2 linked regions of the Styela clava genome follow. The protein of the gene in region 1 purifies or fractionates together with the protein of each later gene. This does not show direct contact. Links are inferred from orthologs where the notes say so. Each region holds a gene or a part of one and is shown on either strand. Other genes may lie near its edges.

Region 1 (8,036 bases):
TATTTTGATAAACACCGATAAACTATATAAAATTTTGCTATAAAATTTCTGCGGTGCTCCTTTTTTCTTGATGCCCTAAGCACTTGCTTATATTGTTTAATGGTTAATCCGGTGCTGCTCGCCAGTCTAGATGAGCAACATTTTTTGCCACTGGTTCAAAAACCTTGCTCTATACATACCTAGGCGTATTGGATTTGAAATGCCAAAGAAAACAAATTAGAGCCAAATTCACATTACCGGTAGGCCTACTACAATTCTCTGTATGAGAAATTCGACAAAAAAATGTTTTGCATTCTTAGAAAGCATTTCGTTATCCGATGCAGAGCACCCAGGCATTGCCAGCGACATGCACACCAAATATTGGTACTAGGGCAGTGGTTCCTAATCTGGGATCCGCGGACTTTTTGGGGTCCGCGAAACAAATCTGTAATACAGTATGACTATAGTTACTAGGCCATCGGGTTGGTATAATAGGATAGGAGGATTTACATCTTTATCCCGGGGGAGAGGAAAGCCGATAAGACGGCTTATCCATATGGCGAACCACAGCCTCTCGTCCGGTCACCATTCCAAGTCGGGTATGGGATTAATTTTACTGTATTGTTTGTTTTCGGAAGCATGGACTTGGTGGGGGAGGAAGCCGTAACCGACCAGCGGTTACGTGAACCACCCAACGACGACGAGGAGTCCAGCAATCCTCTCGCACATAATCATCCCTGCATGGGATTCGAACCTGCGAACCCACGCAGAGTAATTAGAGGTGCGGTGGCGAGCGTATTCCTAACGCTTAGCCCGTTGAGCCACACCGCCGCGCCAATCCTACCGGTACATTTGCAATTTCGCCCGACATATCACAGATAATATGGGTTTCTGCCCTACATAAATAAAATCAAACCTGCTCAAAACAAATATCAGGATATCGTCCCTCGAAGTTAATCACCAAGTAATATCCGATTCCACTGGTCTTTAAAAATGTATGCCTACTAGTGAAATTAATTATTCCTGTGTTCGAACTAAACTGACAGTCGGTCATCGGTACCTTCAACAAAAGATCAAAATTAGCATTGTCTTACTTACCATTGTTACAATGAAGATCATAAACGCACGAGTGAACTTCTGTTCCAGCGCTTTTTCGGGCAGCGAGCGTATAGGAATTAGGGGCCTGTAGCCTACCTAATTAACAAAATTTGACAAAGCAAAATGGCGGAAGAATTTGAACAAAATGGCGGAAGAATTTGAACAAATTGTCGTGAGCTTATCAGGTAACTCTCCGGGTCGGATTTTCAGGCAGTAGGATTCCGAGAGTAGATTCAATAGTTGACTCGTGCCGTCGCATGACATTGTACGGGATTCAGTTATTTTCAAACAAACCTTATAAAAGTATGAGATTTACTGTGAACTATTTTAAGCGTTTTAGCGTGTTTAGTATATATATATTGGCTGCTATATATATATATTACCATCGCAAAACTAAGCAATATATAGACTTTCTAACAAGATATCAGTGGGAACATTTGTTTTTACAAAGTGCGTATTTTCCTCTATTCTGTAAGCTCAAATTTCGATTTTATGATAATTTCACAGAGGTCCATTCCGATTATATTTTATAATCAATATTCCTTTTTATACTAAAACGTGTACTTTCGTGTCATTCGGAAATAAATTAATAGTTAAAAATCATTGTGTATTGCGCTTTTTGCGTTCCGTGCTATTGCGGTAAAAACTGTTTAATTGATTTAAATAAGCATATTGCGATTTTAGAGAGGTTTTAAAATCAGGCAGTTAATAATGTAAAGTGTGGACAGAAGTTGGGTGATTTCATAATTTCGGCAAAACGGGTGGCGACAACGTTAGGATTACGCTTGTAATCCTGCGTGGGTTTGTAAGTTGCGTCCTGTTTTTATGTGCTAGAGCAGTCCTGCCTAACCGTTTTTTGTTTTACGAACCACTTTCAGATGAAGATAATCACTATGTGGCGATGAACATTTTTACTAAACTCCAATGCAATTCTAGTTTATGTGAGGATTTACCGTATGAAAAGCAAGTTTATTTAAATAAAATCAATTAAGTCAACAATTGCTCGTCGAGTCGTCAACGACCTGGGATGGGGAAAATATCCCAATATCGAATCTAACAATTAAATATTCGAATGGCATTTCACTATTCGAGTATCTGGTAACTCGTGGCCGGGGTCATTTCACTGGACGCGGCGCTTGCGTTGCGCTGATCCAAATAGTTGGATAACACGCGGCACTTGGGTTATACAGACGAGCAAGCGAGAATTTTTGCACACATTTCCGCTGACAGACAGAGACGTCCAATAGAAAGGTTTGTATTATGGTGTTTATTGCTATTATTATTTTTATAATAATTATTTCAGAGCCTATCGTTTCAATTTTTATTTGACCATAATGCGCGCTGATGAAGCACAAATTTCAACAACTTCTCGAAACATCAAACACGTAATTAAGTATTACATGTAATTTTTCTGAGATTTTGTAGAATTATTTTAAATATGTATAAATGCCGTTATTGCCGATTTTATCATCATTTTAATGGAAAATGCGGCACTGACCAGCTACTTACTGTACTGGTATACACAATTACGACTTTAACGGAAGTTTTCATTTGACGTGATATCACAGATGCGACAAAAGAATAAAACGGAAAAATACAACAAATTCCGCAGCCAGCACGAAAAACAAGAATCGGAGTGAAATTAATTTGAGATGCAAATTCATTCCTATAATATTCGTTAATGTCGACGACCTCACAATAATCGTATTGACAAAAAAAACTAATTGTTCACGCCCGCCGGGGAGCAAGAATCAATCTAACTAAGGCATATGATTCGATCATTTTAAATTGAACTATTCGAAAACCACAGAAGAACCCGATTCACCAATCTTTTCGAGACATTTAAATTTGGCCTATACAGATATTCCGTACTGGATTGTCTCTAAATCATTATTACTGTAGGTTGAGTGCTCCAAAAGTAAAACTGCCCGAAGGTTCAATACATCCGCGTATTTTTTGTTTGTTCATTTCTGGCCCAAGCCATGTTTAAAAAGGTTTGTGTTTATTGTAATTTTTTTGCGTGTGTGCTGGTGGGTGGGCACATGATATTTCTCATGTTTTAAACTTTTCAAAGGTTTTGTTCGCTCTCCAGAATTCTCCTTTTATATTTTGTGTGTATTATGGAGTCTTCAAAATAAATCTATCTATCTATGAGACAAGGAAAACTGGGGGAAATATAGCTTACCGAATCAATTATGCCAGAATTGCAAAACATGATTGAAAATATATAAGAGTACTAAAATATATTATGATAATATTGGAAGTCTGCTTACAAATTTACGCGGCCAAGTACAAGCCGGAGCGTTAATTGGGCAGCTCTGTGGACTCTTCTCCGTCGTGAGGTGGATGGTTCATGTAACCACCAGTCGTGTATAGATTACCCCACCATCAAGTACACATACATAAAACAAATAACTAGCTTAACACAATCTCAGCCGACATGGACTGAAACCGTGCGAGTGACTGTAGTGTGCCATATGGGTTAGCCCAGTGTTTCCCAAACTTTTTCGTCAACGGGACACTTACACTTTTTATCTCGCTTCGCGGAACACCAAAAAAAGAAAGGGTAAAGTTGATAATGAATAACGGTGTAATGTAGCCGTTCCCAGTGGGTTCTCAATGCGCCGCGAAAATTAACAGGATTGTTTTGAATATTTTACATAATGCATTTATTATAAATGTTTTATTATTTCCTAATTTAAATGCTGTGTATATGGATCAATTCATTTATTTTACTGCAGTTCATCTACTGAATAGAGTTTAGCGAAATGAGTAATTTTTTTCAGCATTCTAGAGTAAAACCAGGCAGAGATGGGGAAGAAGTGTTGACTTTTTGCCTTTATTCTTTCTACTCGTTTGCCTATAGCAAAAATCAAAAGGATTGCTGTAAACTCGTTAATGAACATTCAACAAGCTAGGCCGACGGAAAAAGCCACTACCCCAGTAAGTAAAGGTGACGGCCAGTTAGACGACAACTTCACGTTCCAAAGATCGCCATGGCGACCATTTTAGACGTAACACTTCGATGACGCTCGCGGAACACTAGTGTTCCTTGGAATACAGTTTGAAAAACGCTGGTTTAGCCAATCTTGTCAGATTTCCTCCCGGCTCGGCGGCGTGGCGCATCATGCTGAGCGTCAGAAATACGCTCCGCACCTCTGCGTGGGTTCGCAAGTTTGAACCCCGTGGGCCGTGAGTGATGATTAGGTGCGAAAAGATTGCTGGACTTCTCGCCGCCGTAGGGTGGTTCACGTAACAACCCTTGGTCGGCTACGGCTTCCTCCACCATAAAGTTCAAGCATCTGAAATAAAGACCTGGCTAACTAACCTTATATACTCGACATGGATCGGTAACCTGACGAGAGGCATTGGTTCGCCATACGACTAGGTCTTGTCGGCTCCCCGGGTAAATATGTGTAAATTCTAAATATGAAAATCCTATAATATTATGACCTTCGACCCTTAAAGCGTATCAAATTGTATTTTCTATTCCGCTCTCTGGCTCTGATCTTTGTGGGTCTAGTTCTCTTTTTCCAGTTTTCCGTTGACCTGTCGTTTTCAATCGTTTGAAATTTTTGTAGATTTGAGTTATCACTTAGGGTTCTATGGCTTCGGCAGTTCAACCTCAGCCTGCACAGGCTCCAACAGTAAACGGAAATGGCGGTATGAAGTTGACAGACACTAAACGAGGTAAAGTCCTTCTGGGACAACTTTCATCTGATTTTTTGAGAATAAAAACCGCTGTTTCAACAGGACAATCAAGGAACGACGCAACCCTGGCACAGCAAATGGCGTTACAGCAGCAACAAATGCTGACACAAACTGCTGTTGCAGGAACTGCAAACAGATTGAATTTAACTTTAGTTGAAGCAAAATTAAATAAGAATTATGGTGTTACAAGAATGGATCCATACTGCCGTGTTATTGTGGGACATGCAGTTTATGAAACTGCAACAGCACAAAATGGCGCAAAGCTTCCATATTGGAATAAAACTATTTCAACTACGGTGGCACAGGATTTAAAACATATCAAGATAGAAATTTACGATGAAAGAGCCTTTTCTATTGATAACAGAATAGCGTGGGGTAAAATTGACATTTCGGACGCGATAAAAAGTGGGAAATCTGAAGATGATTGGTGGCCGTTAAGCGGAAAACTTGGCGACGAAAAGGAAGGAATGATACATTTACAAATTTCATGGTCCAAAGTTCAGCAACCAATTATATACAACGCTCCAATGCCGATGATGTTCCCACACGTCTATAATCCTGCTGGTGTACCTATGATGATGCCCGCGGCAGCAGGTGGGTACATGGTGCCACCTGGTGTCCAAGTCGGGGGTATGTATCCACCAAGTCAGCCGCAAACACAAATTCAGCAACCCGCGATCACAGAACAAGATCTCAAACAAGTTAAAGAAATGTTTCCGAACGTGGAGGATAGCGTGATTAAAGCAGTTCTAGAAGCAAGTGGAGGAAATAAGGATGCAGCTATTAATTCTCTATTAAATATGCAATAATAAGTTTGGTTTAAAAAATAGGAATGTAACATGATGTAATATACTTCAGAAAAAAATTCATCCTTATCGTGTAGTCATTGAAGCTGAAACTAGCAGCATCAACTATATTCTTCTAAGATGGTAAAATCTTCCATTTCATAACTTCTGTTGCTATTTCATTTACATAAGTGAAAGTGCGTCTTTTTTAAACTGTCCTCTTTTTTGTATTTAATGTTCCCTACCCATTATAATGATCCTAAACACGGTTGACTGCTAGTCCATTAAACTCAGAACAACAAAAAAACAGAGGATATTCCCATCAAGAATATTCCATCCAAATATTTGAATACATCCCTAATTGAAGATAGTCGATACAGTAAAATTGTAAAATTAGGAAGAATTAAAAATAATTTTGTTTAAAAAATTTATCATTGTAAAGATTTGACATCCGATATCAGACATAATTCACCTTTGACACTGTAATGTGTGAAATATATACTATTTGAATCATTCTGCAATACCAATTTCAATTTATTACGAATTTACAGTTATTTGCTCAAATATCTTTTTTTTTCATAATAGTGCTTATAAATATAGTAATTATACTTGCAACCCCACAACGAGAAAAGTACAGCAATTTTGAAAATCAGTATTCTGGCTATTTCTGACTCGTATTATCAACTGTTTTAAATATGAAATATCCAGTTGTATATTATGGAGAAAATGTGTTTGTTCATCTATTGAAATATTTCAGATATTTTCATGCTAGTGTTGTTTTTTGTACATACCGTAAATATTCTCTTAAATTATGCTTTTAAATAGGCATCAATTATGTTTGTGAGGTATTTCCTTATGTTAGAGTAACTTCTGTCAGTCAGTAGTTTATTTTTCACCAAAATGAAAATGCACTCACAGTGAACATACACTTAAAAAAAGTTGAAAATGACATTTCATATTGAAAGGTGACGCGAACAACCAAAGTTGGTTATCGAGCAGCGACACCTGTGATAAGAGTCTAACTTTGATACAAGTTTAATAGAAATAAGACGAACAATATATATATAAATTAATATATCAAATATTAAAGTCGAAAAACCAAATTTGTTGTCATTTCATTTACTTTTAGTTTTTTACTATTTGTTATGGACATCACTGGTAACCAGACAAGATGCTGCCGTAGATGGTATTCCCATTACCCGGTATAAATATCCAAATCCTTTCCTTTTGCTACTTTGTTAACTGAGCAATGTTAGTTCATTGTTTCCCAAGATCTTTTAGGTTCGACATTACCTATCCAATTTATAAGCTGAAAATTACGGCTGTCGTGTATTTTGGTCTAATTTGGTATCCTTCAGTCTCCTCCACTTCCGTAAATTAATGAAGCCTGACTTGTTAGAATATCTGATTGTTATCCGGGAGAAACCAATGCTGCTATTTCATGCTTCATAGATTAGCACCAAAGTAAAATTGTTCTAAATCTAGTTGTTTATGTTTATTATTTCATTTAATCATTGTTCTTATACTACTATGTCTAATAATCAATATTTTATTGTTAATATTTTAATTCAGCTTTAAATTAAAGTTTATCGAAAAATCTAGTTTTAAATTCTATACAAAGGACGAAGAATTAATAAATTTCTGTGCAAATCAAAATCTGCCTGTACTTCGCAAAGAGAAAATTTATTATTTCTGAATTGGATAAAAGTGCCAGATTTTGCTCATTTTGACAATATAAATCAACTAAAATGACTGATTTACGGATCGTCCTAAACCTTCCGAACGAGGATATGGAGGTGGACATGGACGAGAACTTTGACGACCAGGAAGATGACAATAATGAAGGTGACCAGCACGGTCAAATGTCATTTAGCACAATTGGTAGCGGAATTATGGCTTTTAACGATTCTTCAATTCCGTCACCACTCGATGTCACTACACCTGAAGAGCTTCTGACACCGTTAGCAAGATTGAGATGTTTCGCTGTTAGTGACAATATATTTAATCGTAGAATGATTGCTCACGATGCTTGTAATGTTTTTGAAGCCGTGCAAAATGACGAGAAAGATTTCGAATCTGCTATTCAGTGTTATCTCAAGCTTTCAGAAGATTTAGAACCGTCAGTTCGAGTCGAACTCATGGAACAACTTGCTGAGATAACAGAAATATTTCATACAAGATTGCTAGACAGTGCTGTGGTGCCTATTTTACTCCGATACCTCACTGACGTGAATAATCAAGTCCGCAAAACCTGCCATAGTGTTTTAGTAGACATAACCAAAGCTGGGTATTTAAAAGTTGGTCAGTTTGAAAATGAAATTTTACCGTTGCTAAAGGATCTCACTTCACGTAAACAGGCCCCTGACGAATACCGTACAGAAGCTATCGCCCTTGTGTGTCAAATTTGTGAATCCTTCGGCTCAGAATTCGCAAAAGAATATTTTTTGCCAATATTTTTGGATT
Region 2 (7,015 bases), on another chromosome or scaffold:
CAGCAAGTCAACTAGTGAGATGCAGACAGAATATATTGAAATGATTATCAATAATAAAACTATATATCTTTATTTTTGTGTTTTTTTTTTCATTTGCATGTTGGTTTAGTTTGGCGAATTTGGTCCCGCCTATAATTCTGCAATCTGATTGTCGTATCAGGTATTTATTGTGTTATTTTTGTTTTTGCGAATGTTTATTCGTTTGTGTTGTTTTTTATGGACTGCAGCGGTCTGGAGTAGTAAACGAATTGAAAAGGCCACCGTGATACTAGTACTATTTTTTCTACTGTCCCCCCTAAGTTCGCTGTTTTACCTGGAAATGGCCTAGGGGTATATCAAATGACCTTTACAAGATATTTACAGGTCCGTTCCGGTAGGTTTGGGTAGATATTTTACACCGTTCCGGTAATTTATTGACACTGATACTGGAGAGCACGAAACTGCGAAAGGTAGAATTATATTTACTTGCTTCATATACCAGTAGCTATTCTCTGGCTTACTGCAGCATGATCTCACAAGTTTCCGTTGCTGTTTATTATGCAGTTATGCCTACTTTGCGAATAACTTCTTCTCTCGGCTCTTATGTTTCTGAACACTTCCAATTTATAAAACCATCACTCCGGGGTGAACCACTTCTATGAAGCAATAAGCAAAACAAAAATTTGGCGCTGACAGAATCGCAGAAAATACCCACGCATAAAAACAAATGTTTCCAATCATTTTAGAAAGAAAGTGTATATTTTTATTAGTTTTACAATACCAAATCAATCAATAACTACACTTCTCATCTTGTTAATATTTTGTAAACAAGCTAAATCGACTGTAACAGTGCATTACAAAATTACATACTTTTTTAGGAGTTGTTTATAAATGACCGAATTTTCTTCGTGACGTTCATTTCTCGAAAACCTCCTATAAAGGCAGCATTACCACATAATGGGACAAATCAGGAACCTTATACTGTAGATTCAATTTCATTATAGCAGAGCATTAGCAGCACGTTTTGACTTAGCCATATATAATACCAAACATAGCGCATATTCTTCAATTTTATGAACACTGTGGACATAATTAAAAAAAAGTTTGTATTTCACTTAATTTGCAGGATACTTGATCAAATATATTTTTTCTTTTTACACATTTATACTGTACGCCAAGAGAGAGAAAGAGGTTTTATTATTTCGTCAACCAAAAAATACAGTCATCAATAAAATAGCAACAGCAAATAAAATTGTTTAGGTATGGACAGGAGAGAGCGATACGACCATGCGCCATACGGTCATTGAGGTCAGCTCCCACCATATACGCTGATGTGATTAACACTGAAAGATGACTAGTGACAAAACTTGAACCATTACGATAAAATTTTTACAATAAATTTCTTAACAAAATTAAGGGATTTTTTGGTTAATGCAATGTTATGCAAGTGTGTTTTAAAGGAAGAAAAAAGAAACAAAAAAGAGGGATGTCCGGTGTTGTATTCGTTAAATAAAACAATCTAAAGCGGTCAGAATAATGAGATGGAAATTTATATTTAACTGGAAATAAATAAATTCGAATTCAATGAGGTTTGGATGCTTATATTTAGCACAATATTCAAAGTACTTGGAAAAAAAATTGGCCATATATATATACAGTGAATCAAAGACAAAAATTATATTGTGATGATAATTTGTCTGAATGTGAAAAATATTTGAATGTAACTTAGTGATACACAGTATTGAAAAAAAGTAACACACCAGGAATTTTATTTATAGGTTAGTCACAATCTGAAAATGTTTAAAATATTTCATGGACTTGTTCATGCAAATGTTTGGCATTTTTACAAACTTGCATTTCAAAAATAATAATACTTATAATAGGTATACTTATCAATAAGGTTTAGCAGATGGATTTGGGAAACGTTTCTGATTTAAACAAGAGGGTCAAATCAATAGAAAAATTTTACAAAACAAACCGAGCAATGATGAGTGAACATTTTTATTTACCTTTGGTGCTAGAGTATGATTGATGAAACCTTTACAAACAAACCTATCCTACTGCTAGTTCAGATCAATTTGGAAATAATTTAATTGATCAACAATAGCATATCAATAACTAGATATAAAAGACAGGGAAAAAACGTGCTATTCGATTGACCAACAATAAAAATTTTCGTTTTTGTAGTCGCGATTTCTCGAAAACCGCCAATACGACACGACACATTCGAAGAAAATCAGATACCTTATAGATTCGATTTCACTATTCCAGAACAGTAGCAGCACGTTTTAACTTGGCCATATACAATACCAAACATAGCGTGTATTCTCAATTTTATAAACAATGTAGATGTAAACATATTTCACAGGGGTTTCGTATTAAACTATATTTATTGAATATTTGAGCAAAATTCTTTTTCACGTTGTCATACATCAATACTGTATGTTCATTAAACTTGGATTATGTTGCGAATTACATACATTGTTAGATACATTGTATTGAATACATTGTTCATAAAATTGAGAAATATTCGCTATATTTAGTATTATATTTGCCTAAGTCAAAACGTGGAGCTACTGTTCTGCTATAATGAAATTGAATGTGTCGTAGTGCTTCCTTTATTGGCGGTTTTCGAGAAATCCCCAATCCAGGGTCGATGATTTTTTTTAAATTTTGAATAGATGGCGTGAATTTATTTTTTGTGATTTAGACTTTCCGCAACTTATTCCAAGTTTAATAAACGTACAGTATTGATGTGTGAAAAAGTAAGAAAGTTATTCGTTCCATAATTAGATAAATTTGGTTAAAATACAAAACCCTTTTGGAATAGATTAAGTCCAGACTCTAGATTGTTTATAAAATTGAAAAATATGCGTTATGTTTGGTATCACATATGGCCATGTCATAACGTGCTGATATCGTACCGTTGTAATAATATCTCATCTATAATAAAATTTTACATCCCACCATTCATCGTAATTCTGCTTCTATTGGAGGATTTTGATAAATATTGTTTAGAACTTGTACTAATCTTAGAAACTCCGTATTTTGCGGAATACCTGGGAATGCGTTATTTGCCCAATTTCTTTTTTTAGACCCTATTTTATTGTCAAATTCATTGTAGTTCTTTAGTTTAATGCTTTGTCATGTCTTTCCGTGGTAAAATTATCTTTTTCTCAGCCATTTTAATTTTTTTTAATATGTATCTATAAGTGAATACTACATGCGCGTGGGAACTATATTCAATGTGTAAAAATATTCTGGCCGAAATTGCCGCTAGCTGCACAGTGGTGTGTAACTGTACTGTATTAATGGATATACTGTACCGGACCACTGTGAAGCTAGTAGCAAACCTTCTTCTAATTGTGCGCAGCGGTGCGTTAAGTCTCGTTTTCGTGCTCATTGAAGAGTTATATTACAGTTTTGTGCTTATTGAAGGGTGATGGAGTAAAACGTAGGCGATTTCTAAATTCCACACGGCAGAATTGCTCTCGATTGTAGATATGGAAGAAACATCAACATAAATTTAAGTGCAGTTTGGAAACTTAATCGATAGCACAACGGCAGTTTGTTTTACACTAATGTTTTATTTTCTGATTTGTCAAATACGGTATCTAACTTGTCATATACTACTCGCCTCAATAAGTACGCACAGAGCTAGTCTGTGTGCAAGACTTTGAATTACCGAATAAATAGAGTTTACAGGTTCAAAAATGAGCTGTTTGTAATGCCAAGCTAATGTAGAAATACGATCGCATTCATTTGCGAAATTGGAAATATTTCAAAGTCAGCTGATTGATTAAATGCACGATGGCCATAACCGTCTACGGTACGTGTTTCTTCTTCTGAGTAATCAAGTCTATTTTTTCACCATACTTATGGAAACGAAGATATATAAAACAAAGATCAAATTCTACTAGCTTCACAGCGGTCTGTACCGGTACCGTTAATGGAGATGAATGGCAGAATGGGTAAATGTATCTGGATTTTATAATATGTCATTTTCATTTTGTATTGTATACTCACACATTTTATGGCATCACCTAAATTAGCTAGAAAATTGGGCTTCATGCAACTGAATGGAAATAAATTATTTGATTGAACCAAAAACTATCATATTTTTTATAAATTGATTTAAATTTTGCAAAAAAATGTGTAGTATCCAGTTTACATTGTATTAACAGTATTAGTACATAACGTCACATCAATAGTCAGATTTTTGTTGTATGTATATCACTTTATCAGTAGACTATTGCTTATGAAGTCAAATCCGAACAATGTGGATCCTTGTTTTGCTTATCTGTGCAGCTGTGGGTATGAATGAAAATGAAGGCAATTAGCATTTGGTTTGGTGAAGCTTCATACATTTGTAGGGTTCCCCATGCATTGCTCTTTCCATCGCATATCAGCAATATGTCATCAGCATTTGGTTTTGTATTTACATGGTATTAAAATTTCAATGTTGATCTATCAGTCTGTATACCCAGTATACGGTCAGACGGTATATATGTATATAAAACTATAGTAGGCTATTTTGTCAACACTGATCATTAGAACGATGTCAGCATCCATGTTTTAAAGTATTAACAGTTAAGCTTTTCTTTTTGGCATTTACTAGTATTTTATAAAAACAGATAATCGTTAAAAATGAAACCGGACAATGTTAAAATGAGAGATCATTTGTATAGGGCTATCATTAGCCAGTTGCTGAATGACGGATATATTGCTGTCGCAAAAAGCTTAACATCTCAAGTGAAGCCAACACTAGCATGTCCACCTTCTGATAAACTGCTCAAAGTATTTGAGACTGGAATTACCCAGCTTGAACATGACAAAGAATTTAAACTTCCATCTACTGCAGAACTGGTTGCTCCTGGCCATGGAATAGATCTTGAATTTGAGACAGATGTTCAAATAACGTCTCCAGAAGCAATTGTATATGAAACAAGTTACGTTACTGCTCACAAAGGTCCATGTCGAGCAGCGACTTTTTCAAAAGATGGACAATATATTGCGACAGGATCGGTGGATATGTCAATAAAAGTATTGGATGTTGAGAGAATGGTTGCCAAAAGTATACATGAAGGGACTCCTCAAATGCAAAATGATCAACCAGGTATGTTAGACCACCCTGTTATTCGTACGTTGTATGATCACAATGATGAAGTGACCACATTAGATTTTCACCCAACCCAGCAAATATTAGTTTCAGGTGGCCGTGACTGTACAGTTAAAGTATTTGACTTTTCAAAGAGTTCTACAAAAAAGGCTTCAAAAACCATTCAAGAAGTTGCAACTGTGCGCTCAGTTTCCATGCACCCCAGTGGAGAATGCCTTCTGGTTGGCACAGAACATCCAGTTGTGAGACTTTATGATCTGAACACTTTTCAGTGTTATGTGAGTTGCAACCCATCAGATCAACATAGAGGTCCACTAACCATGTTGGCTTACAATAATGATGGTAGAATTTATGCTTCTGGGAGTAAAGACGGAGATGTGAAGTTATGGGATGGTGTCAGTAATCGATGTATTGCAACATATCCTAAAGCCCACAGTGGTGAAGAAATTTGTTCTGTACAGTTTTCACGAAATAGCAAATACCTTTTGACAAGTGGTAAAGACAGTGTATGCCGTCTTTGGGAGACTGCAACAGGACGCTCACTCATTGCTTATACAGGAGCAGAACTTAGTGGCAAACAATTACACAAAGCACAAGCAGTGTTTAATCATACTGAAGACTATGCATTGTTTCCTGATGAAAAAACAATTTCACTATGTTGTTGGGACACCAGAACTGGTGAAAGACAACGCCTATTGTCACTCGGACACAACGGTCCTGTTCATCGTCTTGCCCATTCACCAACATCGCCTGGATTTATCACGTGCAGCGAGGATCACAGAGCTCGGTTCTGGTATAAGAGAACGACAGGAACGGACTGAATTGCTGCTGGATAGCACATTTTACTATGTGTTTCTGGACCACAAAGTTTAGGGTCAGCGCAGCATAACATGAGCAAAATTAAAATTTACTTCATGGAGATCATCAGTTTGAAGATGCATGGTATATTAGACAGAGTAATAAAATCTTGTGCTTTCGATTGCCTACTGTCTTAAAGAACCTTGCCTATCTATGCTTTCCAACAGACCAGACCCTGTTGTTTTTTTTAAAGCTTATTTGATATTCTTAATTCTCATTCCACTTTTTATGGCAGTGAATTATCAATTGACGAAAGAAATTTATTCGACCTAATAAACCCTTTGAAATCATCCTCATTTTATGCCCAAACCTGTGGCTGTGTCCCAATTTTTCTATATTTCTTCTCACTAAATTGCCACCACTGCTGGGGTATTATGCATTCCTATATTTATCTAGTTCGTGCTCTTGTCTTGACAATAGCGTTTAGTACACATTGATTAAAACGATTGTCCCTTTTTCGTAACTAAATTAGCCACAATATCAGTACTGACTCGGGGAAAGTTTATTTAACAGGACACATCAAATTTATAAGGTGTACATATTGAATTGCCATGCTGAGGAGGTGCCAAGCATCCCCCAAGTCTGAACCGGACCATTTTCTATCAGCTTTGTGGTTCACTCATCAGCCATCATCTGTTTTTTCGAAGTATTCTGCCATCTTGCAGAGGGCTCTTGATCTGTGGGAAATCTTGTTCTTTTCATCTTTTGCCATTTCAGCATATCTGAATTGGATGGGGGCATGGATTTGCTATTGGGTTTCAATTTGAATGAGTCCCAGTCATAAAATAACAACAATGTACTCACGTTTCATTATAACCATCTGGTTGAAATGTTGGGTCCCATCCAAAGTCCCTTGGGCCTCTAGGTGATACGATCCTCCCCTAGTAAGCAATTAAGGAAAGACTTGTGAAAAGTAATGACAGTAAATTCTCATTCCTTATTAAATCATAGATTCTGGGCAATACTACTTGAAAGCTTATTATTGAAGAATTTTTTTTCACATAATTTAGTTTCCATATGTTAGAAGCTGCTGGATCGAAGGTGGTCGGCCAAACAATA

What was found. The genes of interacting proteins can lie anywhere in the genome.
Region 2: the proteins of toll-interacting protein A-like (region 1) and cleavage stimulation factor subunit 1-like purify together in Homo sapiens (co-immunoprecipitation; 3 studies listed by BioGRID and IntAct, with this or other methods). This does not show direct contact. The link is inferred for Styela clava from reciprocal best matches to the Homo sapiens genes TOLLIP and CSTF1.

Annotation. Positions count from the first base shown.
Region 1 is NC_135250.1:1,381,529-1,389,564, forward strand, and holds toll-interacting protein A-like, read left to right. Parts: upstream 1-4,502; 5' UTR 4,503-4,682; coding exon 4,683-5,597; 3' UTR 5,598-7,145; downstream 7,146-8,036. Other genes in the region: serine/threonine-protein phosphatase 4 regulatory subunit 1-like, read left to right, coding at 7,322-8,036. UniProt on the Homo sapiens protein: Component of the signaling pathway of IL-1 and Toll-like receptors. Inhibits cell activation by microbial products. Recruits IRAK1 to the IL-1 receptor complex. Inhibits IRAK1 phosphorylation and kinase activity.
Region 2 is NC_135254.1:18,917,005-18,924,019, forward strand, and holds cleavage stimulation factor subunit 1-like, read left to right. Parts: upstream 1-4,581; 5' UTR 4,582-4,626; coding exon 4,627-5,919; 3' UTR 5,920-6,041; downstream 6,042-7,015. Other genes in the region: inosine triphosphate pyrophosphatase-like, read right to left, coding at 6,579-6,678, 6,761-6,837. UniProt on the Homo sapiens protein: One of the multiple factors required for polyadenylation and 3'-end cleavage of mammalian pre-mRNAs. May be responsible for the interaction of CSTF with other factors to form a stable complex on the pre-mRNA.